Saccharomyces cerevisiae S288C: one gene and its partners. The protein of the gene in region 2 interacts with the protein of the main gene of each other region in a biochemical or structural test. Each region holds a gene or a part of one and is shown on either strand. Other genes may lie near its edges. The genes, in order: RSP5, NPL3, HMT1 and MEX67.

What was found.
Region 1: the proteins of NPL3 (region 2) and RSP5 form a complex in vitro, tested with the Saccharomyces cerevisiae proteins (2 studies listed by BioGRID, with this or other methods).
Region 3: of the proteins of NPL3 (region 2) and HMT1, one has a biochemical effect on the other in vitro, tested with the Saccharomyces cerevisiae proteins (12 studies listed by BioGRID, with this or other methods).
Region 4: the proteins of NPL3 (region 2) and MEX67 form a complex in vitro, tested with the Saccharomyces cerevisiae proteins (2 studies listed by BioGRID).

What each region holds. Positions count from the first base shown.
Region 1 is NC_001137.3:406,546-415,553, forward strand, and holds RSP5 (NEDD4 family E3 ubiquitin-protein ligase), read left to right. Parts: upstream 1-3,643; coding exon 3,644-6,073; downstream 6,074-9,008. Other genes in the region: DSE1 (Dse1p), read right to left, coding at 797-2,518; rRNA-processing protein NSA2, read right to left, coding at 6,849-7,634; small subunit rRNA maturation protein LCP5, read left to right, coding at 7,936-9,008. UniProt on the Saccharomyces cerevisiae protein: E3 ubiquitin-protein ligase which accepts ubiquitin from an E2 ubiquitin-conjugating enzyme in the form of a thioester and then directly transfers the ubiquitin to targeted substrates.
Region 2 is NC_001136.10:1,325,075-1,332,789, forward strand, and holds NPL3 (mRNA-binding protein NPL3), read left to right. Parts: upstream 1-3,708; coding exon 3,709-4,953; downstream 4,954-7,715. Other genes in the region: TIF35 (translation initiation factor eIF3 core subunit g), read right to left, coding at 1-227; CYM1 (pitrilysin family metalloprotease), read right to left, coding at 427-3,396; GPI-anchor transamidase GPI17, read left to right, coding at 6,163-7,715. UniProt on the Saccharomyces cerevisiae protein: Involved in mRNA processing and export. Required for efficient splicing of a large set of pre-mRNAs by efficient co-transcriptional recruitment of the splicing machinery. Remains associated with the mRNP during early steps of translation elongation.
Region 3 is NC_001134.8:302,000-309,722, reverse strand, and holds HMT1 (protein-arginine omega-N methyltransferase HMT1), read left to right. Parts: upstream 1-3,746; coding exon 3,747-4,793; downstream 4,794-7,723. Other genes in the region: CSG2 (mannosylinositol phosphorylceramide synthase regulatory subunit), read left to right, coding at 1-642; pyridoxamine-phosphate oxidase PDX3, read left to right, coding at 2,768-3,454; EDS1 (Eds1p), read right to left, coding at 5,020-7,723. UniProt on the Saccharomyces cerevisiae protein: S-adenosyl-L-methionine-dependent protein-arginine N-methyltransferase that catalyzes both the mono- and asymmetric (type I) dimethylation of the guanidino nitrogens of arginine residues in a variety of RNA-binding proteins such as heterogeneous nuclear ribonucleoproteins (hnRNPs) and small nuclear ribonucleoproteins (snRNPs).
Region 4 is NC_001148.4:228,131-236,282, forward strand, and holds MEX67 (Mex67p), read right to left. Parts: upstream 2,709-8,152; coding exon 909-2,708; downstream 1-908. Other genes in the region: DAP1 (Dap1p), read left to right, coding at 184-642; MRX4 (Mrx4p), read left to right, coding at 3,087-4,379; REV3 (DNA-directed DNA polymerase), read right to left, coding at 4,463-8,152. UniProt on the Saccharomyces cerevisiae protein: Involved in the export of mRNA from the nucleus to the cytoplasm.

The DNA of each region.
Region 1 (9,008 bases), on a different chromosome or scaffold from region 2:
GGAGAGGGTAAAGAAACAGGAAAAAGAAGAAAATGAGACATAGTCAGCATCGTAATCGTTTTCCTTCTGTATATTCCTTTATCAAAAGACTACACGCACATATATATTAATCCCGGTATGTTTTTGGTGTGCTAAATCTATCTTCAAGCACTATTATAGCATTTTTTTAAGAATATCCAAAATAATATGTAATTTATGATTAATCAAGGTTCAAGAATTGGAGAAACCGTGAGCGACTTCTTTGATACTTGGATGTAAGCTTTTATTTAGTTGCTTTTTCGTTTTCTTTTATTTACGCCCTTGTTTTGCGTGTATACTTTACTTTTCTAATTCACTTGAGAGCGGGACTATATATAAAAAAATGCACAATTACAAACTTGAGAATGAATGCATATCGTGAAGATTTTGATATTAAATTAAGAAGCCAAAAAAACGTAGGCAACCATAACAAATTTCGGCATTGAACTTGATTCTAAATGCTACATACAATTACGCGCGCTGTTTTGATATACACACACATATATATATATATACATTGTGTAAGAAAAATTCAAAGCTTAGTAAAACATACAGATCATGGAGAAAAAAAAAAAACCGAATACTTGTGTTACCAGAAGGATCCACTGACTGGACTTGGGTCACAATTTGAATTTTATTGATTTTCACCTTCATCAAGGAGGATGGTCGTTAGTAATAAAGGGCATTCTGAGTGACAGACAAAGAAATTATCTTCAAAGAAATGTTACTTTGATTCATTGATATGTTATTTGTTTTTATTTGAAAGCACTCAAGGAAACTAGACAACAGTAGTATCAATAGTAGATCCACTTAAATGCACATCATTTACAGAATACATCCTCTTTGTGAAGACGATATCCTCTTGGTCATCATTCAATCTACCTTCGCTAACAGTATTTGCTGAAGAACAATCCCAATTACCAGAATTTGAGAACATATCATCAGATGTTTCTGTCATACTATGGTCACTCTCATTGGATAATGATAACATAGAAGAATCAGATATTCCACTCTTCCCAGTACCATTACCATCGATTATTTTACCGGTATCGACATTGAATTGAACTTGACAAATTTGATGTAATCCCAGTTCACAAAAATTGTCAAGAGTTACTAAACTTCCATCGTTTGCCATATCAAGGAATAAAAATCCACATCCTTTTCCATTGGCCTTAGTGTCATTGCTCTTCAAGCAAATATTTTTATCACTCATACCACTCACAATAATGTTTCCACATTGGAAGACTTGCTTGGTTAATAGTAGTTCACTTTCACTATCTAGGCTAATTGAGTTAAATCCATGGACTAACTCACCATATTTCATGTTTTGTAGGTTTTGTAAATCCCAACAAATGACAAAGCCTTGGTCATCACTGCTATATAACGCGCCTGTGTTTTCGTTAAATTTTAGACTTTCAATGTATCCTTTCTTAGCATATAATTCACAAACTGGTTTACCGTCGCAGGATTGAATGTCCCAAATTTGAATTTTATCGTTCAAGCTCTGTGCAACGTGATGATTACTTATCCATACGCAATCCAAACTTGTGTTCTTTCTTTGCAAATGGTCTTTTCCACATCCTGCAGATATGCTATTATCTAAAATATCTGGAATATAGAGATTTGTTCTCAAATCAAGCAGCGAGATGCCATTTGGTCCAAATTTTGAGCCAACTAAGGCCAGTAAGAAGGGATCATGGAATTCATTAACGGCAAAAGAATTTATACCTGGATATGATTGCAAAAAAATAGGTGTTTTTATGCAATCAAGATTTGATTTCAAGTCATATATAAAGAGGGAGTCATTTAGAAGGGAAACAAAACCGGTCTTGTTCCATGGCGAAACCTTCAAAATAGGTGCTGTTTTTGGCGTTATTTCCAGAATCGGAATCGACGTTGATACGGTAGATTTTAGAAACTTGTTGTGGTTAAACCTTTTTATTATTTTAGCACATCCCTTATATGTTGAAGTTGCTATCAGATTGACTATACCGTCTTGATGACCTGTCAATATTAATTGGTTGTGGTTAGGATTTATTTGAGAGCTGGGGAAAATCTGTGGCGGAAAATCTACCATGGGCAATAAGCAGATACAAGTAATGGGTTTACCGGGAACAGTAATCGTCTGTAGTTCCTTCAGCTTTTTCTCAGCGGAAATTTCAAAAAGTTTCAAGTTGTCTTTCTCGTTCATTGTAGATACTAGAAGTATATTATCCACAATGGACATGTCTGAAGGTATGGATAACTCACTTTCATCAACACCGTACAGTTTCCAATAATCTGATTTTAATTTTTTAGTTGTATAATAGTCATTGAAGTTGTCTGATGCTTTTCGCAAAATCGGTGAATTCATTTTCGAAGTATTGTTTTGCCACGTTTTTTTGTATGTGGATAAAGTCATCATCGATTGTAAAATCCTCTTTTTATCTGATCTCTTCTTTATATTAATAGCAGGCTGACGAAAAATATTTGTTGGTTCGTAGTATTTGGTATCTTGCATAATATTAATACGTGTCACTCTCACTATCACACCTACAATCAAATTTTTTAGCAAACACAGATTAAAATTTGGAAGTCATGCAAGAAGAAGAAGCCAAAAGATAGTTTGAGGAAAGCTTGGGAGAGATATTTCTACCTTTTTATATATTGTAAAACGTTTACGCACTTATTTATGTAAACCAGTAAGCACCCACCCAGCTATGTCGTCATGACTACAAATTGGTTATGAACCAAGCCTTATTCAGTAAACCAGCAAATTTAACATCATGCCGGCATTGAATCATACATAGAAATCAACACAATAGCTTTGAGAACTGAGAATGTAGCTTTGACGCTGCTATTATTATTTGGTATTGTTTACCTTTTAATGTTTATTTGTTTAGAAAACAGACTGCTGGTTTGTTTACATTTGAGAGCAGAAAAAAAAAATTGCTGGCGCAGACCAGCCGCACAGTCACGTGACAGTATACGATCATGTGATCTTACGTACATAATGACATTATACGAGAAAGGGGAAAAAACAAAAATTTAGTGGAAATTTTTGGTAAAGACCAAATTGCAGTGATCTTCATGGTGAAAGGTAATATTTTTTGCTGGCGGGGGAGGGGGCTTCTATCTCGACAATTAAAAGACATACGCTTAACCATTTTTAGGGTACTCGAGTATCGCATCTGCTAATTGATAAAAGGACTTTGTTGTGTTTTGAGGCTGTTTTCCATTTTCTTCGTTAGAGCTACAAGAGTCGACTTTTTCGTTAAACAAAAACGATTATAAGATAATAAGCGCTGTCAGTTTTTTCCACAGTTTTGGACTTGTTACTATAATTCGTGAAGCACATTTTGCAAGTGAGTCAAAATTTCAGTTCAGTCCTTCTTTAGAAGAGTGAGTGCGTAGCAAATAAAACAGCAGGAAATAATTGCTTGTTTTTGTGTGTAAGTACCTTTTAGTTGGAACTACCGAATATAGTGTTATTCGACTTTCACTTTCATAAGCCACAGCTTTTTCTTAGTGCGTTTTTAGTTCGATAAATTTACCAAAAACTATTTTCCCCTTTTCTTATTCCCTTTTCTTTGTTAGCTTGGGTATTATATTTAAAGTAACAGAAAGGAAAGAAAAAAGAAAAAAAATGCCTTCATCCATATCCGTCAAGTTAGTGGCTGCAGAGTCATTATATAAGAGGGACGTATTCCGTTCCCCGGATCCGTTTGCTGTTCTGACTATTGATGGTTACCAAACCAAATCTACATCCGCAGCGAAGAAAACGTTAAATCCCTACTGGAATGAGACTTTCAAATTCGACGATATCAATGAAAATTCTATTTTAACCATCCAAGTCTTTGATCAAAAGAAATTTAAAAAGAAGGATCAAGGGTTTCTTGGCGTGGTTAACGTCCGCGTGGGTGATGTTTTGGGCCATTTGGATGAAGATACTGCTACATCGAGTGGTAGACCTCGCGAAGAAACTATTACTCGTGATTTAAAAAAATCTAATGACGGAATGGCCGTCAGCGGTAGGTTGATTGTTGTTTTATCAAAACTACCTTCGTCAAGTCCGCATTCACAAGCTCCTTCTGGCCATACTGCATCTTCTAGTACGAATACAAGTTCAACTACTCGAACAAATGGTCATTCTACTTCCTCCACCCGTAATCATTCAACGTCTCATCCTTCCAGAGGCACCGCGCAAGCAGTAGAATCAACTCTTCAAAGCGGTACAACAGCTGCTACTAATACGGCAACAACCAGTCACCGTTCCACCAATTCCACATCCAGTGCTACCAGACAATACTCTTCGTTTGAAGACCAGTATGGTCGTTTACCCCCTGGTTGGGAGAGAAGGACCGATAACTTTGGTCGTACATATTACGTCGATCATAACACAAGGACTACCACTTGGAAACGTCCAACGCTCGATCAAACAGAAGCCGAACGTGGCAACCAATTAAATGCAAATACTGAGTTAGAGAGAAGGCAGCATAGGGGAAGAACTTTACCTGGTGGATCATCAGATAATTCCTCTGTAACAGTTCAAGTGGGAGGTGGTTCCAATATACCTCCTGTTAATGGTGCAGCAGCAGCAGCGTTTGCAGCTACAGGTGGTACCACATCTGGTTTAGGCGAATTACCTTCAGGCTGGGAGCAGCGATTTACTCCAGAAGGAAGAGCTTATTTCGTTGACCATAATACTAGAACAACCACTTGGGTGGATCCAAGGAGACAACAGTATATACGTACTTATGGCCCTACAAATACCACCATTCAGCAACAACCGGTCTCCCAATTAGGTCCTTTGCCTTCTGGATGGGAAATGAGATTGACCAATACGGCACGTGTATATTTCGTTGACCACAATACAAAAACAACGACCTGGGATGACCCAAGACTTCCATCATCGCTAGACCAAAATGTTCCACAATACAAGCGTGACTTCAGACGTAAGGTTATTTATTTCAGGTCCCAGCCCGCTCTTAGAATATTGCCGGGACAATGTCATATTAAAGTACGTAGAAAGAACATTTTTGAGGATGCTTATCAAGAAATTATGAGACAAACCCCAGAAGATTTAAAGAAAAGATTAATGATCAAGTTTGATGGTGAGGAAGGTTTAGATTACGGTGGTGTTTCCAGAGAATTTTTCTTTTTATTATCACATGAGATGTTTAATCCATTTTATTGTTTGTTTGAATATTCTGCGTATGACAACTATACCATTCAAATAAATCCTAACAGTGGCATCAACCCCGAACATTTGAACTATTTCAAATTCATTGGTAGAGTTGTGGGTCTTGGTGTTTTCCATAGAAGATTTTTGGATGCATTCTTTGTAGGTGCACTTTACAAAATGATGCTACGTAAAAAAGTCGTATTGCAAGATATGGAAGGTGTTGACGCAGAGGTGTATAACTCATTAAACTGGATGCTTGAGAATAGTATAGATGGTGTCTTGGATCTGACGTTCAGTGCCGACGATGAAAGATTCGGTGAAGTTGTAACAGTGGATTTGAAGCCAGATGGGAGAAATATTGAAGTTACTGATGGTAATAAGAAAGAATATGTCGAATTATATACCCAATGGAGAATTGTTGATAGAGTTCAAGAACAATTTAAGGCATTCATGGATGGTTTTAACGAATTAATCCCCGAAGACTTAGTAACTGTGTTTGATGAGCGTGAACTAGAACTATTGATCGGTGGTATTGCGGAAATTGACATTGAAGATTGGAAGAAACACACTGATTATCGTGGTTACCAAGAGTCAGACGAGGTCATTCAATGGTTTTGGAAGTGTGTCAGTGAATGGGATAATGAACAAAGAGCCCGTTTATTGCAGTTCACCACTGGTACTTCTCGTATACCTGTCAACGGGTTTAAAGATTTGCAAGGCTCTGATGGTCCAAGAAGATTCACTATTGAAAAAGCTGGTGAAGTACAACAATTGCCAAAATCTCACACATGTTTTAACAGAGTTGATTTGCCACAATACGTTGATTATGACAGCATGAAACAGAAGCTAACATTGGCCGTGGAAGAAACCATAGGGTTTGGTCAAGAATGATTATTCCGCACCAATTTTTTTTTTATTTATGGTGTCCGTTTTCCCAACATTCTTTCTGCCTCAATCATCTTGTTTTATATTTCAGCTAACAATAGTAAAGAGAAAACTCTTTTTTGTTAATTTTATCTGAGTTGCTCATGAAATGATTAATCATTGTTGTTTTTACAGCAACATGGAAAGCAGCAAAGAAAATGCAGGAAAACGTGAAGTGCTTTTTTTGATGATTACGCAAAGTTCTTTTCAAGTTCGCCATAAGAGGAGGTTTTCCTTTTCAAAAGGAGCATGATACCAATAATTTATATTGCCTTACGCCTCTTATTTTTTATATCCTCTTTTTAGATTTTATTAATTTTTTTTTTTATTTATATACATATAATGTGCCCTGCTTTTTACAACCATACGTTTTTTGTTTTTTAATTTTCTTGCATTTTAAAACTGAATAGTGACCTGGGTATTATACTACAGTTGAAATTGCTCTCGTGAGGTACATACTTGAAACGAGCGTACTAGGCAATCCCTCTCTTGCCAGTCACCTACACACGGAGAGTATCGGTTATTTGTCGTGAGGAAAAAAGAACCGGATAATAAATTCTTGATTTGTTATATTGTACAGAGAATGACGAGAAGTAAAAAGAGAAACCCGAACAGGACAGAGCGTACATTTTTTATATACCTGTTCTTTTGTGCTTGTAGACGTATATCGTATTATTAAATTAAAAGTAAACCTAATTTGAACCATCGAGATAAAAAAAAAAAAAACGGAGCACTTTTTTGCTCATACAAGCAAAACCGCATTGACACAGCCGTCTCTGTCTGGTTCGTTTGTGACCTGAGCATACTTACCCCAGACAACTTTACCACCAGCAGTAACCATCCCCAATTCCGAAACGTTAACTTCAATAATGGTACCTTTAGTCAAAACACCTAACTGAGTGTACATTGGAGATTGTGGATTCTTCTTAACTGCCAAAATTGGCAAGAAGACAGTTACACCTAATTCCGGATGAGTGACGTTTGCCTTTTTCTGTCTCAACGCACTTGGTCTGATGATTCTTTCCATTTTAACTGGTCTTCTAGTGAAACCTTCACCCACAAAAGTGTGTTTCGTTATCATTCTCTTCCATGACTTGGATCTAGATTTACCTGTTTTAATAACTTTGAACATTTCTTCTTCACTTATACCACGAACCTTTGGTAACGGAACTGAAAACTTATCAGCTTTTTCCAACCTCTTTTGTTTGATCGATGAAGAAATAGCTTTGGCTGTGTTATTTTGTTCTCTGTCCAATAGATATGTCGGCAAAGCATCACCATCGGTATCCAATGGTTTGGATGAACCCTTGACCTTAGATTGTTCATGTGCCTTAATCTTCTTTCTCATTGATACCTTTTCAGCATATCTCTTCTTAGCAAATTGCTTACCCTTCCAACCAGTCAACTTCTGGGCCCGTTCAGAAATCTTATGAGACTCTCTTGCCTCTCTCTTACGTTTCCTTTCTTCGTGATCTAATCTTTTACCATGCTGTTTGATGTGACGCTCGATATAATCGTTTTGAGGCATTGTTTCGTTGTATATATCAGTATTGATACGAGACTGACTACTGACTAAAGATAAAAACGCCAGATACGAAAACCAAGTTCTTCTCTAACTGATACCTAATCCATTCAATTGTCTTAAAAGTGCATCTCATCGCTGTCCGGAAAATTTTTCATCGGATTGTTACTAGAACCGTTGCCGACGACATAAAATTTTTTACGCCTTTCCTGCAAGGTTGAAGAAAAGAAACCGATGAGCTATACCATTCTAAAGTGTCAAAAGAGATGAAGAAATTAAAATTGTCAACTAACACACAAATCCAAGAATGTCTGAACTTAATGCATTATTAAAAGATATCAACGGCTCGCTCACTGCGACATCAGAATCCTTGGAGAGGTTGTCTGGGATTTATAGTAATTCTGCGACCGATGAGATTCCTGAAAGTAACCAACTACATGAGCATCTATTTTACGACGCTAAGAAGCCTGCTGAGAAAGTATCGCTGCTATCCTTAAAAAATGGGAGCATGCTAGGGTACATAAATTCTCTATTGATGCTTATAGGCAATAGGCTAGACGACGAGTGCAAAGATCCTTCTGCTATGGATGCACGTGAACGCTCTATTCAACACCGTGTGGTATTAGAGCGTGGTGTTAAACCACTAGAAAAAAAGTTGGCTTACCAATTGGACAAGCTGACTAGAGCATATGTGAAAATGGAAAAGGAATATAAAGACGCTGAGAAGCGTGCACTGGAAAAATCTACCTTAGTGAATCATAGCGGCAACGACGATAGCGAAGATGATGAGTCTAGTGAGGATGAAATAGCATACAGGCCAAATACCTCTGGAATTATCAACACAAATAAAAAATCATCAGCATACAGGGTGGAGGAAACGGCTAAGCAAGAAAACGGGGAAGAAAACGATGACAATGAGACTGGCGTGTATAAACCACCAAAGATTACGGCTGTTCTACCACCGCAACAAACGCATTTTGAAGATAGATTCGATGCCAGAGAACACAAAGATCGTAGTAACAAATCGCGTATGCAAGCCATGGAAGAATATATTAGAGAGTCATCGGACCAACCGGACTGGAGTGCATCTATTGGTGCTGACATTGTGAACCATGGAAGAGGCGGTATCAAATCTTTGAGAGACACAGAGAAGGAACGTAGAGTCACTTCATTCGAAGAAGATAATTTTACCAGATTGAATATTACAAATAAAGCTGAAAAAAGGAAGCAAAAGCAACGAGAAAGAAATGCAAGGATGAACGTTATCGGTGGTGAAGATTTTGGTATATTCAGCTCAAAGAGGAAGCTGGAAGATAGCACTTCGAGACGTGGGGCCAAGAAGACTCGTTCTGCCTGGGATAGAGCTCAAAGGAGACTGTA
Region 2 (7,715 bases):
CCCAATCTTGCTGTAACAGCACTTGGACCTGCTGGAGACCCTTTTTCAGAGCCATATTTATGCCAGTTTTTTCTTTCTGCAACAGATTTATGGACTTTTTCCAATACTTTAACCTCTTTTACTTTCTGAGTAATCTTATACTTGACACCGTCTTCAATCTTGTATGTAATGATAGATCTAGATCCATCTGCATTCTCTATGATCTCCTCTGGTGCAACTTCACTCATTATTCCTGGTGGTCTTTGGTCTTTTGATCCTTTCAATACAGCGAGTAACTAGGGCTTCTCTTCCCTCTCTTTTGCCATCGTGATAATTTTTCACTTTCCACACTCAGTGAAAGAAAAAAATTTTAACTTCGTTACAAGCGATGAGTATAGATCGGCAAGAAACTTTGAAGCAGTATATTTACAGGATTAAATTATATATCTACAGTTCCTTCACCTCCCAATTTGGTGAAACAGTCTTCCCCTCGATTCCAGGTCCAATGACCGTACTCACCCCTTCTTTGTTTAGTAGATATTTTTCGGCGACTCTATGAACGTCCAGGAGAGATACGTCTAAGAGTTGTTCCCTTCTTGCTTGTTTCATATCGTCTGTAACACCGCTCATGAAATACGTCACGCCTTCTCCTTTGGGACTTTTAGGTGCGTCTACTTGTTGAAATATTGTCAATTTAGCTTCATCAAGGTCTGTGACGCCCCACTTGGCATCGTTCAGTATATAACGCCCGCTATTCTTGAAGGTTTCTAAACTCTTCAAAGGCTGAGGATCCCTATAGGAATAGAAACTGAAAATACCCGCTAAGGCGCTATAAGAAGCACCACCACCATAAGCACCACCCTTTTCTCTGACTTCTCTGTGCAAATGTTTGAATGTTAGCATATTTGACATAACTTGAAGTGCAGAGCCATCCTTATGTGTATACGGCACACCCAATAAAGCTTGGGATGTGTAATGGACCTGGAAAGGAAATTTTATCAAAGTATGTTTACATTTGGATCCAATAAGAGGATAATCTGAAGTCTTTGGTCCATTGGGCAAGCAGCTGCCATGAGGTAATCTCTCCATGAATTTTGAAATTTGGCTTTCTACTGTTTTCGCTTGAACATCAGAGTCTGAGGTGATAAAAAAATTCATGTTATTGGTATCAACAATGTACTTTTGCAATTCAGTTAGCTTGTCGACAACTTCTCTTTGGAAAGTTTCTTCATTGTCTAACAAGCTGTGCAATCTATTTATAAATTGTAGTTGCTCAATACCATTGAGGGTCTCATTTATAGCTCCACTTGATCTATAATGTGCGGCAGAATAGCCCCTTGCAAATGCATGACCGGCATCTGCTACAGAAGATGTGTTTGAAGATGCTAATAAGCGGATAAGAACTTTCAATTTATCGCTGTTTTTATGGAAATCAGTTTCTAGTAAGATCTTAGACCAGAATTCAAAAATGTGGTCGGTCTTCGAATTTAAAGACCATCCGTCAAACCCGAAAATCAGGCGAGGCTCTGTGGTGTTAGGGTCAGATGTAACCTCTACATGTGTTGATATACCACCCGTATGTAATTTTATCTGATCTTCTATTTCACTGAAGGATTCTGTTGTTGTCCCTAGGTTAGTTAACGATTCAGCAAATAAAGGTAAGTATGGGAAGAGTTCAAAGGGTATTATGTCATTTAGTAAACGTTTACCTCTGACATATGTGATACCATTGGTATCAGTAATCCTAGACATTGTATTATTCTTCTGTTCGATTGAATATTTATCACCAGCTCTTGGGATGTCTTTTATTTGTAAGGTAGGTAAACAGGATAAATCTTCTTTTTCATTTTGTTTCTCCTGTAACAGTATACCACGTTTAAAGATGTTTTTCTTGTCTTGTTCATCCAAGGCAGTAATTTTTTCTCTCAGTCTTGTTTGTTCTTCATCATCCAAAGATTTAGAGAACTCTTCAGATCCCTGAATGGAAAACGTGAAACAAGGTTTATGAACGATATATTTACGGATTAAATCTTGGAATAAAGTATCACCTTTCGTTTCTAAGTCACCTCTAAATCTTTGCAAAACGTCCTCAAACAACAAGCTCTCAAAAGGATCGATTTTGTTTGTCCAACCAGGTAGTATAGAATAGAGTAATTGAAGTCCAAAGTCAGCCTTTTGATCCTTCTTAGATAATTCCAATTGTTCAATTATGGCATCGATACGCTTGCGGTCAAAAGGATGTTCTGTTTCCAACAGGTTTTGAAAAATATTATTTACAGTGTCTTTAAATATTTCAATATCACTCACGCCCTGTATACCAACAGTTAGCAAATTTACTGCTGTAGTTGGTTCAACACCTGAATTTACGGAGAACTCCAAACCAATTCCTGATTCTATTAATTTTTGATACATTACAGAAGAATGGCCATCCATTAATAAATTCCCCAGTACTTTTAACAAAAAGGTATCATATGTGTCCTGTGGCGCTCCACAAATCCACGTCATTGAGGCTTTTGTCTGCTTCTCCGGTGGAAGCATAGTATCTATTTGACCCAGTAACTTGACATCTATGTCTTTTTTTAAATCAATAGGCATTAACAACTTATCCTTTCGAGCTCTCTTCCCGTAACCACTGAACTGCTCATTTAATTGCTTTAACGTATCCACCAATGGCAAGTTACCGTACGTGAAAGTTTTTGCATTGGAGGGATGGTAATTTTTGTGATGGAAATCCAAGAGATCGCCGTATCTCAAGTCTGTAATTTTCATAGGATCTCCGCCGGAGTTATTCAGGGAAGGATAAATAGACTGTTGAAATTTACTCCAGAAATAGTAATTGGCATTTGATATTTGACCTTTCATTTCGTTATAGACAACACCTTTGAAAACAATGTTACTCTCCGGGTCTGTGATGTTTTTATGCTCCAACCTCCAACCCTCCTGATCAAAATCTTCTTGTTTAAGTAGCGGATTCAAGGTGGAGTCTAAATAAACACCTCTTAAATTAGCGAAATCTTGAGGGTTCGTAGTGGAAAAGGGAAAAAATGTATAATCTGGACCTGTCATAGCGTTCATGAAATTAGCTAGAGATTTATTTAGCATTTTGAAAAAAGGGTCCCTAACTGGATATTTAACAGACCCACACAACGTTGTATGCTCTAGAATATGAGGGACCCCAGTGGAATCTGGAGGGTTGGTTTTAAAAGCAATGCTGAACACATTATTCTTGTCGTCTCTATCAATATGCAAATGCTCGGCTCCTGTCTGGGAGTGCACCAAATCTACCGCAGTGAGTCTCAGCTCCGGAACCGGTAGAATTCTTCTCACTTCATAACCATGGAATATACCTCCAACTGGATATTTTCTAACGGCCTGTGCTTGGGCATACGAGGACGCAAATCGCTGAAACCGCAACATATATACCGCAGTATATTTTATAGTAACTTTATTCTTTTGAGTAGCCTTCTAATTGGTGGCTTATTGATTACAATTGCTTGTTATCATATCTGTCAATGCTTGTTCAACAATTCAATGATTTACTACTACCTTTATCATAGAGCCCCTCCGTATATTTATCACTGTAAACGAAGGGCAAAATTTTTTACATTCTTTTTTTTCGCCACCCAAAGGGATTTAAAAAGGACATGAGAAAAATAATTTCCTCTCTTCTAAATATATATACTTTTGAAGGAATCAAAATTAAGCAATTACGCTAAAACCATAAGGATAATGTCTGAAGCTCAAGAAACTCACGTAGAGCAACTACCAGAATCTGTTGTCGATGCCCCAGTCGAAGAACAGCACCAAGAACCACCACAGGCTCCAGATGCTCCACAAGAACCACAAGTTCCACAGGAATCTGCTCCACAGGAATCTGCTCCACAAGAACCACCAGCTCCACAAGAACAAAATGACGTTCCTCCACCATCTAATGCTCCAATTTATGAAGGCGAAGAATCCCACAGTGTCCAAGACTACCAAGAGGCCCACCAGCACCACCAACCACCTGAACCCCAACCATATTATCCTCCTCCTCCTCCAGGTGAACACATGCACGGTCGCCCACCAATGCACCACCGTCAAGAAGGAGAACTCTCGAACACCAGATTGTTTGTTAGACCTTTCCCATTGGACGTTCAAGAATCCGAGTTGAATGAAATCTTTGGTCCATTTGGACCAATGAAGGAAGTCAAGATCTTGAACGGCTTCGCGTTTGTTGAATTTGAAGAAGCAGAATCCGCTGCCAAAGCCATTGAAGAAGTTCACGGTAAGAGTTTTGCTAACCAACCTTTGGAAGTTGTTTACTCTAAATTGCCTGCCAAGAGATACCGTATCACCATGAAAAACTTACCAGAAGGTTGTTCATGGCAAGATCTTAAAGATTTAGCCAGGGAAAATAGTTTAGAAACTACTTTTTCTAGCGTCAATACCAGAGATTTTGATGGTACCGGTGCTCTAGAATTCCCTAGTGAAGAAATCTTGGTCGAAGCTTTGGAGAGATTAAACAATATTGAATTCAGAGGTTCTGTCATTACTGTTGAAAGAGATGACAATCCTCCACCAATCAGAAGATCAAATAGAGGTGGCTTCAGAGGTCGCGGCGGCTTCAGAGGCGGCTTCAGAGGTGGCTTCAGAGGCGGTTTCTCCAGAGGCGGCTTCGGTGGCCCCAGAGGTGGATTTGGTGGTCCAAGAGGTGGTTACGGTGGCTATTCCAGAGGTGGCTACGGTGGCTACTCCAGAGGCGGATATGGTGGCTCCAGAGGTGGTTACGATAGTCCTAGAGGTGGTTACGATAGTCCAAGAGGTGGTTATTCCAGAGGTGGCTATGGTGGTCCAAGAAATGATTACGGTCCTCCAAGAGGTAGCTACGGTGGTTCAAGAGGTGGTTATGATGGTCCAAGAGGCGATTATGGTCCTCCAAGAGATGCATACAGAACCAGAGATGCTCCACGTGAAAGATCACCAACCAGGTAAGCCATTTATATAGTTGAGAAAAAAAAAGGAGAAATTAACAAAAGATATGAATTGTTTTAAAACTTAAATATGAGACTGAGAACAAATGAAAAAGGAAAACATCGTATTAAATGTTGAAAAAGTTTTTTTTTTGAAGAACTTCCTCCCCATTCCCTCCCCTCCCTTTTATTAAGTATAGTTTTTGTTTATTAATAAGTTTAGTGTTAGAAGATCCCAAAGTATATGATTGAAAACAGAATTGTTTATTGCGAGTCCCGACTTCACTCCAGTAGATAGAATAATCCCATGATAACATTTAACATCCTTTTTACAACGGAATTTCATTTCCAAATTGATGAGTCGTTAAAACTTCTGTATTGGATTTTAATTAGACCTTCTTTCGTGTAATACTACTACTACTACCTCTAGATTCTTATGTGTCTTTCAATTTTTTTTATTTCCCTGCACCAAACTATCTTTTATTGAATGGAATGTGCTGCAAAATTAACAAAAATAAGTTTTACTTAAAGTTTCTAACGAGAATCTCCTCTTCAACATACGGGCAGGATAATATAATTGACTATACTGATAATGAACCCCGTTTTTTGTTATCTTGTGAGATAACTCAGTGGAAACTTGATCTAGCAGTAGACCAGTTTCCCCTCCCCCAATTAATACTAGAAAGTTGAGAAACTACAGAAATCTTGTAATTTAACCATTTTTTTGTCCCAAGCCGATCTATTTTGGATATCTTATTGTCATTTTTCAAGTGAAAAAAGGTCTCCCTTTCTATACGAGAGTTCTCATATGGAATGAGAGAATAAGCGGTAAGATATCGAACATTCACAAGAAATAAAGTACCAGTTAAGAGGTGCAATTGAATATATACAATATCCTATCATCTTAGTCCTTTGAGTATGCAAAAAGCTACAAATATAGTTGTTAGTTTGGGTCAGGCTAATTTCAAAGAATTTGAACTCCTATAAAGTTAAGTTGAAGAAACTAATAAGTACTATTATGGCCTGTTAAATCTGTGTTACGTATTAAATGATGTGTAATCCAGAAGTTATAAATAATGAAAGATGTCCTTACGTGGAGCTTAATAACAGAGATACAAAGTTTAAAAGGGAACTCGTGTACTAATTGAAGTGTGTACGTGTGCATTAATATTAATAAGGGATAAATAACGATAAAAGAGCCGCTCTTTGATAAGGATTACACGCCAGAATAATGTCCAATGCAAATCTAAGAAAATGGGTTGGTTTTTGCTTTGTTGCCATTTATCTCTTTTTAGGTGTTCCACTGTGGTACAAGCTAACTACAGTTTATAGAGCATCACTACCAATAAATTACATTGAGTCACTTCAAAATAACAAATTCCAAGATATTCATCTCGTAATACCGGTGTATGTTAAGTCAGATACTTACAGATTTCCTGACGTTCATGACGCTATCCAAGTACAAGTTAACCATTTATTGAATTCTCAGGAGCAACGGGTCCCTTGGTCTTTACAAGTTCTTCCATATAATGAGACTATTGAGCAGATGGAAAGTGAAGGCAACCAGTTTCATGTCGTTACTTTGAAGTTAGACGAATTTATTGGTTACTCATCAGCTTACGACACCAAAGAAACACTAGTATATTACGACGATGCTGCCGTTTTAAGTAATGATCTACCGTTTTTTGTTGCTCAAACATTGGTAGAGCACACTTTCCAATTGGAATGGACGCATTTGAATAAAACGTGTGAAGGCGTTTCTACAAACAACGATGTCGCAATATCTTATGATCCAAACATTCATTTAAGTGTAACTTTATTGTCAGGTGATGGGAATCCTGTTGCATGGGAAATTGAGCCTACATTAACTGACTACTTTTCACCTTTTAGGAAGTTCTTATCACCACTGGTAAATTTTACAGTAGATTCATCCATTGTTTATCATAATGATTTGAATTTGCATTCATTAAATGGATCATGTACAAGCGTTACGTGGTTTGATCTCTCTCATACTATTGATCTTTCTGAACTTTCTTCAATGGCCTATTACCCAGAAGATTCTGCACTGAATTTAGCCATAGTCTTTCCTAGTGCTTCTTCAAGTCCCGATGGTCTGGCGTTCATTAATGGCACTCGGATTTCAGACGAAATAACCACATTAGATTGGAATAGTTATCTAGTTCCTCAATGGGGGGTTATAATAATAAATAAAATGCCGTTGAAGCCAAATTCAGTCATTAGCGAAGATTATTTAGAACCTATGATGTACCGTTTTGCGACAGATATTTTTCAACTATTGGGATTAACGGAGGGCTCGCAAGATTTGTTATCACCTTATATTACCATAGATTCATTCAAAAGGTTGACAATTTTACAGAATCTAGATAAAGCTACGGAAACATTATGGTCGTTAGTGAAATTAACTCAACAATTTCAGGGCATGTCTATCCCACGCGAAGTATCGGATAATGTTATCGAAGCTTTAGACTTAAGGCTACAGATTATTGATTTATTAAATGATCCTGGAAAGGGTGGAGATATCGTCTGGAACAATGCCCTGCATCTAAGTAATGAATTGGTTAAACTATGCGAAAAGGCATTTTTCAATGGAGAAATGGTTCAACAAAATTTCTTCCCACAAGAGCACATGATAGCTGTGTATTTACCTTTATTAGGCCCAATATCGGCAGTCATGTTCTTTGGTTTCTACAACGTGATGAAGGAAAAGAATCAAAAGAGTAAAAAGAATGGAACCGAGAGAGAAGTTGCTAAAGAAAAATTAGA
Region 3 (7,723 bases), on a different chromosome or scaffold from region 2:
AATTTCCTCATCATGATGAACGCGGTCATTGGAATTTTGATCATCTCATACACGAAGGCTACCTGTGACATGCTTGCCGGAAAGCTGTCCGTCAACCCTAACACGGGTGAACTTTCTGACCCATTCTTGTTTGATAGGTTGAAAGGTGCTCTGATTTGCGGCCTTGGTGCTTTGATTATGGGTCCTTTTGCCGTGTTATGGAACCGTTGGTTTTGCAGTAACATTTCCAAGAACGAAAATTCTGCTGTAGTCTTGGTTAAGCAGAGCACCCACATGGCCCTAATCGGTATTATTGGCATGGTAATACTTTTGCCATTTATTCCTAAATTTCCCTCCCGTGAGTCTGTGGAATCCATTTCGTTGTTCTATAATGACAAGAGCTTTTGGTTCTCTCTACTAGGCTCGATTATCTTTGGTTCCTTGCCGAGCTTGATTTCGATATTAGAGTTGAATCGCAAGGCCCCTGCTGAGTATTTGACGACGTGCAACCTGGGAGCTATTATCTTTATGGGGTTAGCTGAGTGGGTTTGCGAACCTACGCAAACCACAATTGTGAGATGGGAAGTCATAGGATACATAATGCTAACGGTAAGTTTGTTGGTCCTATCAGTAACACTCGGGGAAGGTAAATACCACCATTAGTACGGACAACATACTTTATATGACTGATGATGATGTAACAAGCATATGCAATTATTTGGTTTCCCTAAATAAAAAATCCCAATCAATATCTTGATTATTTTCAAGACAATTACTAGGATGTTCTTCTATTTTTTTATTTTTATTTGTATATTGTATATTCTAAAAAGAAGAAGCCATTTGGTGGGCTTTATTATAAATATTAAGAGGCATACCTCCGCCTATCCGCCTATCCTCGTCATGAACAATCAATTAAAAGCGCTTATAAAGCGATATACAAGTACAGTACGCGCGATTTCTACAATACAAAAAATATACATCAAGAAAAAAAATGTTTCCAAAAATTATCTAAATGCATCGAAGGCATTAGGAGAAGTAGCTGTGAATACAACACCAAGATTCATAAAATGAACACACGGTTCCTTCCGCTTGGAAAATAATGCGACAAAAATACCGTATTGATCATCAAAGTAGTTTTAATAGATACCTAAAAAAACCATCTTGAAAAATCTCAAATTACGTTCTTGATCTTGTGTCATTGTTCAGTTACTGATCGCCCGCAAACCTAACCGATGCTTAAGAAAGGACACCCTTGCCTTTTGGCTTATTTACCTACTCGTATTTTTCTCTGTCACATCGTTCGATGTACGGGGCACATTTGGAAATTTCATCAGTAAGTTCAGTGAATAGATTTTTTATTTTACCTTTTTGTAGTGGGATTTATTCTTTTAAAGGCAAAAATCTACTGAAAAAACGGAAAAAACTAGAATAAACCATTTCTATATATACTCATGTTCCCTGACGTTCTTTTTCCTTTTTCTTTTTCCAGAGTTAACGATAAGATAGACATAAAGTGACAGCGCTTAGCACCGTCTGTTTGCAAATCTAACTTAAACTCCTTTTTTTCTGTCACCTTAAACAGTGTCAGAAAAAATACTAGGTATAAGAAAACGAGAAAAAAATAAACAGCGAACTCGTGCAAACTTTGCTAATAAACAATTAGCTGTAACATTTGTGTGTGGGTGTGGTGATGGTAGGCTTCCCATGGTAATTAAAAGGTTAGGTCGAGAAGAGGATCGGTACGAAGAAGGAATAACAGGAATAAGTTCAAAAACACTGCTTTAGCAACTAAATGCAATAGCAGTGTTTAAGAATTTACGGTTTGCATTTTCTAAACTCAGATTTTAGCCATCTATAAGTAGAAACACAATAAAAAACCACAAATTGCGCACACACAAGCATCTACACTGACACCAGCATACTCGAAATTCTTTGGAAAAGAAAAGAGCAGCAGGCTATCAACTGAAAGATCAATCCGAAATCCGACACTATCTCTTCACCATCGAGTGCCTACCAAATTTCTGAGGCCTGCATGATGGAAAACTCAAACGTAGAATGTACAAAAAACACGGACTGAAAAAAAAAAAAATACGATTAAGCAAACGCAACAGCCATTGACATTTTCATAGGGTACCTATCTTCCTCTCTAGTTTTATTCTCAAACCAGAAAAATCACACTAAAAGCTACAAAGAAGGTCTTTTAATTGAGAACCTTGAGATCTATATGTCACCATTGCTAAAGAGGAAGTTTTTTCGCGAGTTCGCGCGCTGAAAACTTTTCTCCCATTTCCTTTTTTTTTTATTTTTTTGGCGTTTAGATATAAAAGCTTTAGCAGGATTGCTCTTCCTTTTCACCACACATATAGTGATATAAAATTTATTTATAAACTAACACAAGTAAATATACAACACCCAGTATTTTTGGCTGCCCGTGTCTTTCTCTACCACGGGTAGTCTCTCTAAGCTGGCAGATAGATGTTTATTGAACCGCTTAAGTTCCGTTGTGAAGTTTTCGTCTTTCAGGCTGTATTTCATAACACTACTGTAGTTCACACATACACATGCGTAATGCCCCAATCTTGATAAACAGCACATACAAGTAACAGCAAGTCTGCTTAGCAGCCAGATAGAGCTCTTATAGATGCCACCAGAACCAGCGCCGGGTAAATTGTAAATACTAGAAGGGGCCGCAACTTATAAGAAAGAAGAAATGACTAATTTGCATGATTAGATATTTTAAAGATACTCTACCTAGACCAGTAGTACACTTCACGGATCTGCACTGAAAATGACTAAACAAGCTGAGGAGACCCAAAAGCCAATCATATTTGCTCCTGAGACGTATCAATATGATAAATTTACTTTGAATGAAAAACAACTTACTGACGACCCAATCGATCTTTTCACCAAATGGTTCAACGAAGCCAAGGAAGACCCAAGGGAAACGTTGCCAGAAGCAATTACTTTTTCATCCGCGGAACTACCTAGTGGGAGGGTGTCGTCCAGGATTCTTCTTTTTAAGGAGCTCGACCATAGAGGTTTTACTATTTATTCTAACTGGGGAACCTCTAGAAAGGCTCATGATATTGCTACCAACCCGAATGCGGCAATCGTATTCTTTTGGAAGGATCTGCAAAGGCAGGTGAGAGTTGAAGGTATCACAGAGCATGTTAACAGAGAAACTTCTGAAAGATACTTTAAGACGAGACCTCGTGGATCCAAGATCGGTGCATGGGCTTCCCGCCAATCGGATGTTATCAAGAACAGAGAAGAACTAGACGAGTTGACCCAAAAAAACACCGAACGTTTCAAGGATGCTGAAGACATCCCATGTCCAGATTATTGGGGTGGCTTGAGAATCGTTCCACTGGAAATTGAGTTCTGGCAAGGTAGACCCTCGAGATTGCATGATAGATTCGTTTACAGAAGAAAAACAGAAAACGATCCATGGAAAGTCGTTAGACTAGCCCCATGAGGGACTGTTAATGAAAAATTCAATGTAGGATCTATTTAACACCATATAATTCTCTCATTTTCTATTTTATACTGTATAATGAATCTTTTTATACCGCCTATAGGGTAATATGTCAGAATATACCGAGATGAAAAAAAAGAAAAAGGAATTCCGAAATTTGGAAATGGCGGGAAAATTTTTTCACAAAGGGAAATTATATGTTATAAAAATAGTTGAAGAGATGAGCTGCCTACTGCTCACCTTGCCGTTTCCAAAAAAGAGTTAGAACCGACAAATTCATCCAAAGAAAATAATGAGCAAGACAGCCGTGAAAGATTCTGCTACAGAAAAAACCAAGCTAAGTGAAAGCGAACAGCACTACTTCAATTCGTACGATCACTATGGTATTCACGAAGAGATGCTTCAAGATACTGTTCGTACCTTATCTTACAGAAACGCAATTATCCAAAATAAGGATCTTTTTAAGGACAAGATTGTTTTAGACGTCGGTTGCGGTACCGGTATTTTATCCATGTTTGCCGCTAAACACGGTGCGAAGCATGTTATCGGTGTTGATATGTCAAGCATTATTGAGATGGCGAAGGAATTGGTAGAGTTGAACGGATTCAGCGACAAGATCACCTTGCTAAGAGGCAAGTTGGAGGACGTTCATTTACCCTTTCCTAAAGTTGACATCATAATTTCTGAATGGATGGGTTACTTTCTACTATACGAGTCCATGATGGACACCGTTCTTTACGCTAGAGACCACTATTTGGTAGAAGGCGGTCTGATCTTTCCCGACAAGTGCTCCATTCATTTGGCCGGTTTGGAAGACTCTCAGTATAAAGACGAGAAGTTGAACTACTGGCAAGACGTTTACGGGTTTGATTATTCGCCATTTGTTCCGTTGGTCTTACACGAGCCCATCGTCGACACCGTGGAAAGAAACAATGTCAACACCACCTCAGACAAATTGATCGAATTTGATTTAAATACAGTAAAAATATCAGATCTAGCGTTTAAGAGTAACTTTAAATTGACGGCCAAGAGACAAGATATGATTAATGGTATAGTCACCTGGTTCGACATTGTTTTCCCTGCACCAAAGGGTAAGAGACCTGTTGAGTTCTCCACTGGTCCTCATGCTCCATACACTCACTGGAAGCAAACAATATTTTATTTCCCTGATGATCTAGATGCTGAAACTGGTGACACCATTGAAGGTGAATTGGTTTGCTCTCCAAACGAGAAGAATAACAGAGATCTAAATATCAAAATTTCTTACAAGTTCGAATCGAATGGCATCGACGGTAATTCAAGAAGCAGAAAAAACGAAGGTTCTTATTTAATGCATTAAGACTTTTGTTTGCTGGAGAAAGAAAAAAATTTGAAAAGCAAATAAACAAACTTGTTCATATTATTGACGCGAATATGTGTACTTTGTTACCCTTTTTTGTTGGTCGTGTACCAAAATTAGTTTAGATATATGACTTTGCATGTCCTTGTACTATAGTTTTTAAAAGAAAAAATCTACTTATCTATCCTTCATTAGGATGCTATTTTTCACCTTGTTATCATGAATATTAGTTAAAGAAGCAACAGCAACAACCCAATTCTGAATCATCCATCAATTTCCAACCTATGTCGGCAAACTTTTTCAATATCTTTTTGTTTTCTTCCTCCGATGGCGCAACGTTTGAGGCGTTACTAGCTGCACATTTTCCGGAATACATGCTCTTCATTACCGATTCGTAGCATCCGGTACTACTTGTAGCACTTACATAGTAACGCTTAGCACGGTCATGTGCATTCTTCCTAAAAGGTTCTAGGGTATTAAATAGTGCGGTTATTTGCACCAATTCGTTCAGCGCAGTTGACAACGTCATAATTCTGTCATTTATTCCCTTGGCCATATTTCCATTACGGATGTATAAACTTATTAATGTGGTAGGTATGGGTCCTATCAAACTAATGATATTATAGCATTCTTCCACCATTGGCAGCATGAAAATAGAAACAGTTCCCATCAAGTCTTTGGTTGTGCAACGTGTATTTTCTTCACTGGCAAGATTTGACGTAATACTTTGTGTTGGCGACATTAATTCTTCTTCACTGTCCTGAGCAAAATAGGCGTTCGGAAGGGGCTTTGAATCCAAATCAACAGAGTTTTCTGCGTTCATATTAGTAATTGAATCTAATATGCCTGATACCAGAGTGATCATTGAGCAGACTAGCTCTCCGATATTTTTCATTTCAGCATCCGAATTGCAGCAATTTTCTAGAATATGGTCATTTTTCTGTTCAATATTTAGTAATTTTCTGATTAAAATTTCCTTTTTCTTCAAAAGGGTCTCAAATTTGCCAGCTATATTATCATGTTCCCCTTTTTCAACAGCGAACTCTCCGTAATCCGTTTGATTTGTGAACAGCAAGTGGTGAGGTACATTTACTTGCAATGATTTTCTGTTAAGGACAAAATATGTTATAAATTCACCAAGTTTAAGGTTTCGTAGAATGTTATCCAAAGCTACGGGAGCTTTTTCGACGACTTGGTTATGACCTGTTTTATCGCTAAAATATGTTTCAATGGCGCTACCAAAATTTAGATTAATTAATTTTGGTTGACCTAGCCGAAAGCTTTGTAGCGTATCCAGAATGTTTAAAAGGATGTACAACCTTTTGAACAACACAGCATAATCCAGTATCTCGTCACCACTTTCCTCGTTTGAATTTAATAATAGCATTGGGGACGTATTTTGAAAAGGTAGAAATAACTTATGAGCTTGAAATTCGTTAAAAACCCCAACAGAGGGGCCTAGCAAAAGCGAGCTTTCCTCACCGGCCAATATTAAGATAAAATTTAACACTATTATTGTCGAAAAGTAAATGAACTTTATTCTTGAAGGAATAACACTGGAATTTTGTTTTAATACGGGTTTTATAGTTATTAAACTTTGGAAGCAGTCGGCTATACATTTGTTGAAATTCTGAATGTAATACAGACCTTTTTGAAAATCGCATAAACTGTCACGAGACCATGATTTTGTTGATTTCGATGACCTTCTTTGTTTTATTTTGCAAAATACCAATACCTCTAGCGCGGTTTTAAAACACTGGATAATTTCATTGTTAATTTGTCTGATCTCATCAATCACGTTTGGCTTTTCAGGATCAAGCATGTCAGTAAATTTACTTTTGTTAATTGGTATTACAGGAAAATTAATATGGAAAAAGTTATAGTAGATGCCTAAAACCTTGTAGAACGAGGTTGCATCAAACTGTCTGTAGGTTCCAAGCATAAGTGGTTTAGCACTGGCTTCCTGATTCAAGGAAACATTTTTTTCAGTGCTAGGATGAGAAGGATTCGACGATCGATATACAGGCTTCCAAGTCGAATTTTTGTCCCATTTGTCACTTCTACCATCTGTGCCTAATTTTTTGTTCGGAAATCCCGCAGTTAACGAGTTTAATCGTTCCTTTTCAATGGAACGTACACTATTGGGAGTAAGCATGCATTGGTTTTTACCTTGCGTATTACCTTCTGAAGTTGTAGCCTCACTTGTATAGGAAAGGCTGCTTAGCCTGGATCTCCCAGAGATAAAAGGGTTAATGTACGGGCTAGCGCGCTGTTCTTGAATTGGAAGAGATTGTGAACCCTGACGACGAACGTTAGATGAACATGCGCCCATTTCCTCCACGGGCGTTATCATTCCTTTCGCTACAATATCCTTCCCCTCTTGCCTGACATTTAAGTTTTCATCTAAGCGATAGTTTCCCCCAAATTCGGTAGATATCGATGAATCGCTGCCTAATATTGCCAGAGAGCTCCTACGCTTGATGTCATCGTACGGCACCTTTACAAATTGTTGCGATTGAGCAGTTATCGAGGGAACAAATAGACTGCTTATGGAAGGAAAAGAGGAATTCCTGGCGAGTGATGGTAAGTAGTTATTTCCCGAGTTCATTGGGTATGAATGTGTTCTTGGTCGGTATTGAAGAGGATCATTATCCGAGCTGAATTTTTCAATGGATACTACACTGCCCCTTTTTTTTGCAGGACCACGTTTCAATGGAACTCTAATAAATTGACACTTTTCACCGACTTCTAAGCACCCTTGACATACGCCGGTATGTTTATCAAACCTGCACTTGATTCTTTTCCTTCTACATTGGTCACAAGCGTGAGAGGCTTTCTTCCTTTGCTTCGTGCCCTTTTCACTTCCTCTTTCACAATTCCTCGAAGAAACTGACTGATTTACTTCGCCCATTGACGCTGAATTGCGTTTG
Region 4 (8,152 bases), on a different chromosome or scaffold from region 2:
CGCATTTTTGTTGAATTGTATTGTATTATGCTCGATGTTTCCAGAACGATATATACATCTGAGAGTTTATATATCAACGATCATTTTCTTGTTGCAGTAAGCTATAATAGACGCGTCAAATAGTCTAACCAGTCTAAATCTCATCAGCCACACACACGTACATCGGAATATTATAGAGAACAAATGTCCTTCATTAAAAACTTGTTATTTGGAGGTGTTAAAACAAGTGAGGATCCAACCGGGCTCACAGGTAACGGGGCCTCAAACACAAACGATTCTAATAAAGGTAGTGAACCGGTAGTAGCGGGTAATTTCTTTCCTAGGACGCTTTCCAAATTTAACGGCCACGACGATGAAAAAATATTTATTGCTATTAGGGGCAAAGTATACGACTGCACAAGAGGGAGGCAGTTTTACGGTCCAAGCGGGCCATACACTAACTTTGCAGGCCATGATGCGTCGCGTGGTCTTGCATTGAACTCCTTCGATCTGGACGTTATTAAAGATTGGGATCAGCCTATCGATCCCTTAGATGATCTGACAAAAGAACAGATTGACGCACTGGATGAGTGGCAAGAGCATTTTGAGAATAAGTACCCATGCATTGGTACTCTGATTCCGGAGCCTGGCGTGAACGTATGACGATTGAGCTCCGCACATTATTTATTAATAGCAAACACCAAGGAAAGGGAAAAAGGAAGGGGCGTGGTGGACGATGATATATGTATACATATACATATCTATATTTTGAAAAAATCTTCTATATAACGGTTGTATAGAAATAATTACTTATTTATGAATTAGTACAAAATATACAAAGCATGCTGCTGTTCGGAACGTGACGAAAACAGTAGCTTAAACTGTATATTTTTTGTGATACTGTGCGGCTGAAACAGGGAACAATATCATTAGAACTGCACAAATGCTTCTCTAGGGATGCCATTCATGCTACTCTGAAAACCCTTTATGGCAACTTCATAGTTCCAGTTACTTTGCTCGGCCAACATAAACGTGTATTCTGCATTCAATTTCGTTTCCAAATGTAGTTTATTCAGCAGCTCGAGTTGTACGGGATTTAGCCGCGACTGGACATCTGGAGGTAGTTGCAAAGTGGGAGCCATGACCATGGCTCCTTGGGGTGCGCCGGGAATGCTCATCCCTCCTGGTACCACTGAAGGTTGTGGCTGCGGTGGTGTCGTTATATTTGGGTTCATGCTTGCGACCTGTGGTAGGACCGAGGCCTGTTGCTGTGGAGGCTGTGCTATTGCAATAGATGCAGTTTTCCAAGCGCCTGTGGAATACGCTCTTACAGTTAACAGATCAGATGCGATTATGACACTATTATTCATTGGAACAATTACCCAGGTTCTATCAAAGGATTTTTTGGATAACTTATTATTTGATGTGGAGTTGTAACCATGATTGTATCTTCTATTCTTTTGATAGTTATTTTTCCCCGTTTTTTTATTGGATTCCAGTTCAGGCTTGCCAGTCTCTTCAAAAAATCCGTGCAACGTAATAACGAACCCATTTATTTGAGGATAACTAATTGTTTCCATTGAGTATTCATTGGGTTGTTCTTGTAAATGGTGCTTTGTTTTCGGCAAAGTCTTGAATATACTATTAATGGACTCTTGCCCGATTGACAATCTCTGCTGGATAGATTTTTCACTGGACACTTTGGATATATTACGTGAGGACGACATGTAATAACCAAATGCTGGAGTTTGGTCCGAATCTGTTACCGTAGATGGAGGAATAGTAGAATCCACGGAAACAGAAAACTGGGATTGGGGCGAATACAAATTTAACAGTTGTTCTCTATTATTATCCCATAGATTCAAAAAGTTAGTTGCAAAGTCTGTAGATGATTGCCCTAATGCATCGTTTTCGAAAAAAAACTGTTGAATCTTCATCGGTAATGAGTAAACGGTTTGCAATTTTTGTTCGTCTCTCACAATCACGTTATCTAGTACAACCAATTTCGGAAATAATCTTAACATTTCAGTGCGATACAACTTATCGGTGGTTATCGGGTTATTTGTCATCAAAAGCTCTCTTAGATCTTTGAATTTGTTCTTCCAAACTTCTAGCGATCTAAATCTAAAAATCTGATTGTTGGCCAGACAGAGGTTTTTCAAATTAGGAAATGTTTGAGCCAATGTGGAAATTGCTGAGATGTCCTTAAGTTGGTTGTCAGCAAGATTGACACTTTCCACTATCAAACTTTTTTCTGTAGAAGCCAGTTTCATCATTGCTGGAAACATCTTAGACTGGGTGGAGATGGAACTAAAGACGCCCTTTTGAATTAGCTCGGGATCTGAATGTAAAGCGCCCAAATTTAGTAATTTTGTTTGTGGGTCATACCTCTTAAGGAGCACCCCCCTCAAGAACGAAATGGTGTCTGAAGTTCCCGCAGAGGCCCCATTGTTATCTAAAAGTTCGAACTTTAAATTACTGCCTGCAAACCGGACACCGTTCCATTTCATTAACGATTCTGCTTCTGCCTTTGAGTTGACATATCCAATAACTAAAGGTCCTTCCACATGAGCGTCATAAACAGCTACTCGAGCGTTGCGGCTTATAAAATTAATCAAATCGTTCATGGTTGCATTCTGCCAGTTCCTCACGCTAATCTTTATTCTATTTTGTTGCATCTGCTGTTGAGCCATCATATTGATATTTCCAACATTGTGAAATCCGCTCATTTTTTTTGCTGCTATTAGCGATGCAGAATTTTTAACGATTTATTTTACTCTTCCTTCTTAGAGTAAGTATGTCTTCAACAGTCTGTTACTATTTTTTTTTCTACATACTCAATTCAGCTCTTACTGAAATTTTCTTCTGGAAAAAAAAGGAAGACGGGTAATGATGATCTTATATAACAGTATAATCTGTAGGTATATTTATCGTTAGAATCCTCTACGAAAGGCAAGTGGGCATGGATTTCTAGCTTTTGAAGCCGCGTTTAAGTTTCTTCAGAATTAATATTCGTAGAAATTTTCTGTTCTTTGCTTCTTTTCTGAGCTTTGGTGGAATAAACTTGGTTCCATTCAACTTAAAGGAAGGAGGAAGTACTGTTCAAAATGACAGTTTTATACACATCTGCATCGCTGAAAAAAATGAAGTGCTTGGCATTCAACATGGGCATGAATTGCGTACGAACAGTATCTCATGCAAGAAGTGGAGGTGCAAAATTTGGAGGACGGAATGTATTTAATATATTTGACTCAAAAACTCCTGATTCAGTGCGTATAAAGGCCTTCAAAAACACAATATACCAGTCTGCCATGGGCAAAGGTAAGACCAAGTTTTCTGCAATGGAAATTAATCTCATAACAAGTCTAGTGCGCGGATATAAAGGAGAAGGTAAGAAGAACGCGATAAATCCTCTCCAAACTAACGTGCAAATTCTTAACAAATTATTACTAACACATCGATTAACAGACAAAGACATATTAGAAGGAATGAACCTGGCAGCCGGTCCTGTCAATGTTGCTATTCCTCGAGACATAACACCGCAGGAAGAAAAGAAGAAAGTTGAACTAAGAAATCGAAAAGCAGAGAATATGGATCTTCACCCGAGCAGGAAGATGCATATTAAGGAACTTCTACACTCTTTGAACTTAGATATGTGTAATGATGAGGAGGTTTATCAGAAAATATCACTTTACTTACAGAAAAATGAGGAAAGCAGGACTTCAGTGGGTGCCTCGCAACAAAACCACGTAGATATCGATATAAACTCCCTAAAACGCTATCTACAAAATATTGAAAAGAAGGCACGTCAAAAAAGTGCCATCGATAAACAAAAAAAGAATCAAGCTCGTATATATCAATGGAATACTCAATCCTTCTCCGAAATAGTACCCTTATCAGCTGGAAATATCTTATTCAAAAGGGAACCCAATCGCTTATGGAAACGTTTACAAAATGGAATAAGTGTATTTTTAGGTTCAAACGGAGGAGGAAAAAAGAGTAAAACTACTAAAAAAGTACTTCAAGGGAATAACATATTGTTACACTCATTAGAAAACAATAAGGATATGACCCTGTCAAACAACTTTGATCACAGTGTCTTTAACATCAATTTTACGGACTTATTTGGCGTTATTAATGCATCTGGGTCCCCACCAGATAGAGTTTTGAACGAAATTAATGAGATCGAATTAAAAGGTTGGAAATGTGTGGGGAACTTATACGATAATAATAAAATTGTAGTTTTTCAAAGTAGCAATCCACTCTTAGAGGATACGAAGATTCCTCAAAAGTCTTTCACTAATTCAAAGAGATTCCTTATTTCACTCTCAGCATTGCTGGCCTCCTTTTTTGCATATTATAGATACCGTCTATCTCAACGTCAAGAATCAAAGAAATGATTTTTTTCTTTCTTGTATATAACAACGTTATACATAGAAACAAATAACTACTCATCATTTTGCGAGACATATCTGTGTCTAGATTACCAATCATTTAGAGATATTAATGCTTCTTCCCTTTGAACAGATTGATTATCTCTCAAGTATCTTTCTGCTTTGACACGAGAGTAAAATACTGGACAGTCATATGAATTGCATTTACTAGCTATATGGTCATTTTCGATGCCTGCATCGGAAGTGTAACGATAACTGCACGTCCTGCACACGGTCTTTAGTGTTTGGTATTCTTTTTGTCTCTTTAATTTCTTTATGAGAAATGATAAGGTTGTGGTGCTTCTTTTCTCTAAACAGTCATCACATAACTGAAGTGAACATATTTTAGTCAATTCTTCACCACAATTACAACATGTTGCAGAAGTTCCTACTCTTGTTATGTTTTCCACTTTTGTAGTAGTTGTGCTCGCCCTTTTGGATTTTACTATTTCCTGAGCCCAGTTGCCAACATTTATACCAATCAAATTGAACAATCTATCAAGAGGAGGTATCAGAATTTTGTTTATATAATACTCCGAATCTAACTCTAAATTCTCACCTTCTAAGAACTCTTCTGGTGATACGCATCTTTCCCGAAGCAGTTGTCCTTGCTTTCCTTTAACAACAAGGTAAGGTATACGCTCCTTGTATTGGGGTTCTGCTCTATGGTCTTCATTTATTCTTCTTTTTACAACCACGGCACCTGCAGGGGCTGTCTTTTCGCTTTTATACGCTCCTAATTTAACTTCTTTTGCAAAACAAAAATCTTGGGCAGATACCTTTCCTATTTGAATCTTAAAAAATTCATTTTGAAGATACTTTTTTATTTTTGACAGGTCTTTGGTTTGAAAAAGTAATCGAATACATTTTTCAATAATCTTCTGCTGGGCTGGGATACCATCCCTTCTAACAGTTTCAATACCCTTAGCATCAAAAATAGGAAGGGTCTGCGAAGGACTTTCATAGGAAAATCCTACGTACCTTTTTTTGCTAATTAATATGGAGGGATGGTATACTTTTTCAAACTTCAAAAAGATTGGTTTTGGATTGTTTTGAGTAACTCTTTCTGCCATAGCATGTCCTATAGAAAAAGCCTCAATAGCAGTTTTTCCAGGTAGATATACAAATAAACTATCTGTGTCTCCATAGACAACTTTGGCGTTCCAAGTTTCATCTTTCTCAATAATATCTATTGCTTTCTCCAATGTTTCTCTGCCTGTTTGTACAATGCTATCAGCTAAATCAGAGCATGGCATTCGTCCAGAAAATGAAGCTGATGTATAACCGTAGGTGACATTCGCCAATAATTTTAGTGCTAACTGTTTGTTATTCAAAAGCCTTTTTAGGGTAGTGTTGTCATCACCTATTTCGTTCATTGTTTTCTTTATCATCACTCTGACATCAAGGATATCTGTTAACATTTTGGATAACGTTGATTTTCTAACAGAGGTCTTGGCATAAACAACACCATTTGGAGCGATAGTTACATCATTTTTTAATAAAGCTAAAATGTTTCTTGGTAATGAAAACTTAGATACTCCAAGGTTATTTTCCGTTAAGTTTATTTCTCGCACTCTTCCTATCATAGTCGAATAGCAATAGTTGTATCCAATCATAATGGATGGATACAATGATTGGAAATCCAGCACAATTAAAGGACTTTTGTAGAAAGCAGATTCTGGCTCCATAACCAAAGGCACACATTCAAGTGCTTTTTGCTTACGAACATCCTTTTTGCCTGGAGAAAGAAGGATAAAACTTTCGGACTTGCATATTCGGATTAAAAAAGACTCAACTTTAAATTGTGATCCTCTGTAATATACAGAATGGAAATCTATTCCTATCAATCTTGCCTGTTCGATATTTCGAGCAATGTAATCCTGCTTTCTTAATAGTTGTATATTTATCTGAGCTCTTGATAACCAATAATTTAACACAGTCTTTAATTCGGTTGTGCTCTTTTTAGCGTTCCACATATTAGTTAATGACTCAAATGAAAAGTGAGGTAATCGTTTATGGAGGATATTGAACGCAGCACTTTCAATAGTATATTGCGTTAAATTTACGTCGGACCTCAACGCTCTCCATATATTAATCATATGTCTTCCGGTAATCATAATTCCTGAGGAATGGGCATATCCCCAAGTATCTGACAACTTCGTCTTAATTTGGCATTTGACTCTGGCAAGTTCCCTGACAATGTCAAATTGATGTATTTTTTGACACCTTTCAATTATATAACCCCACGAAAAATTATGTATTTCGAAACCGGAAAGAATATCAGGATCAAGAAGTAATACCAAATCAGTTAGAGCCTCAAACATTTCAAATTCACTTTCATAGAACATCACGGGAATTTCGTTAATACAATGTTGAATTTTAGTAGGAAATGTACTATCCTCAGAAGCTTTGTGGACTATCATAATCCCTTCGTAAGCGATATCCAAATCTAAAGGGAAAGTTTCTTCTTCAAGACACCATATAATCATGGAAACTTCATCTATTGCAGGGTCTGGAATTTTATCACTTCTCGTGTTTGCATGAATCTCAAGTGTCAGATGAGTAAGAGAATCGTGAACGCTACTTTTTTTTCTTTTTTGTTTTCCAGAAACGTCACTAGCAAATTTGTATAAAAACTTACTATGAGGGGTGTGCATGCTTATCTGAGACTCAGTTTTTTTGTTTCCCATCGAGGGTACTTTATTGTACCATTTTTGAACAGCATCATACGTAGGTGGTTTTAACGCATATTTCCAGGAGGAAAACATGTCGAAAGTTGGCTTGTTATAAACTGATACGGTCTCTCCCCCAAATTGGACGGGTATTCTCGTTGATACATGTGTCGAGCTTATTTCAAACCTCTTACCTGCGTACGCGTAAGGTTTATTTTCTAGATCAACTGGATTCGAAAAGAAAGGGTCCTTATAGTCTATTTTTGGGAATCCCTCGTCTTCCAATTTATTCAGAATATCTTGATAACCGAAAGGAGGCTCACCATAAACAAAGGCTCTTTTTCCATAGCGTAATCCCGCAGCCATAACCTTCTTTCTTTTCCGAGACAGCAACGATGTTTTATTAGCAGAAACAGATGATCTAAGTTTTCGTTTACTTGCCATATTTTGCGTCATAGCACAATCCATTGAAAAATTTATCGTATTGTGATATTTTGTTTGATGATCTAATAGTATAGTAGAATCTTTCGGAGACGCAATGCTTTCCGGTAACCATGAATAAGACCGAGACTTTATATTGCTTCCTTTTACACCTTCGTTCTCATTATCAACACCACATATCTCGTATTCGGTGAACGATGCATTAACTTGGTCGTCGTTCTTTTTATCTTGCATACTATTATTGTTTATTTCAATCTGTGGAAGCCTTGGCCACAATTGCGGTAATGCTTCATAGGGCGTATTTATGGCTGAGAATTTTTGATTCTTATCTATAAAGTTCTCAAAATTTGGTATTTGACCATCAAAAGTACTTGTTTTATGTTGTGCTTTCTTATAAAACGCTTCGAACTCTCCAGAAGATTGCCATTGATGACCACTCACATGGCGCTTTGTTTCTGGTGGTTCTTTATATTCCTTCAAGGACAACTCCTCTCGTTGCATGGTAAGTTCATTTATCATGTCCCTAGCAGAGGATACATATGGTTTGACAGGTATGTCAGAAATATCTCCCAGTTTTTCCAAAAAGTCGTGATGTATATCTCTATGCTGTAACTTTTCTCTATTTTT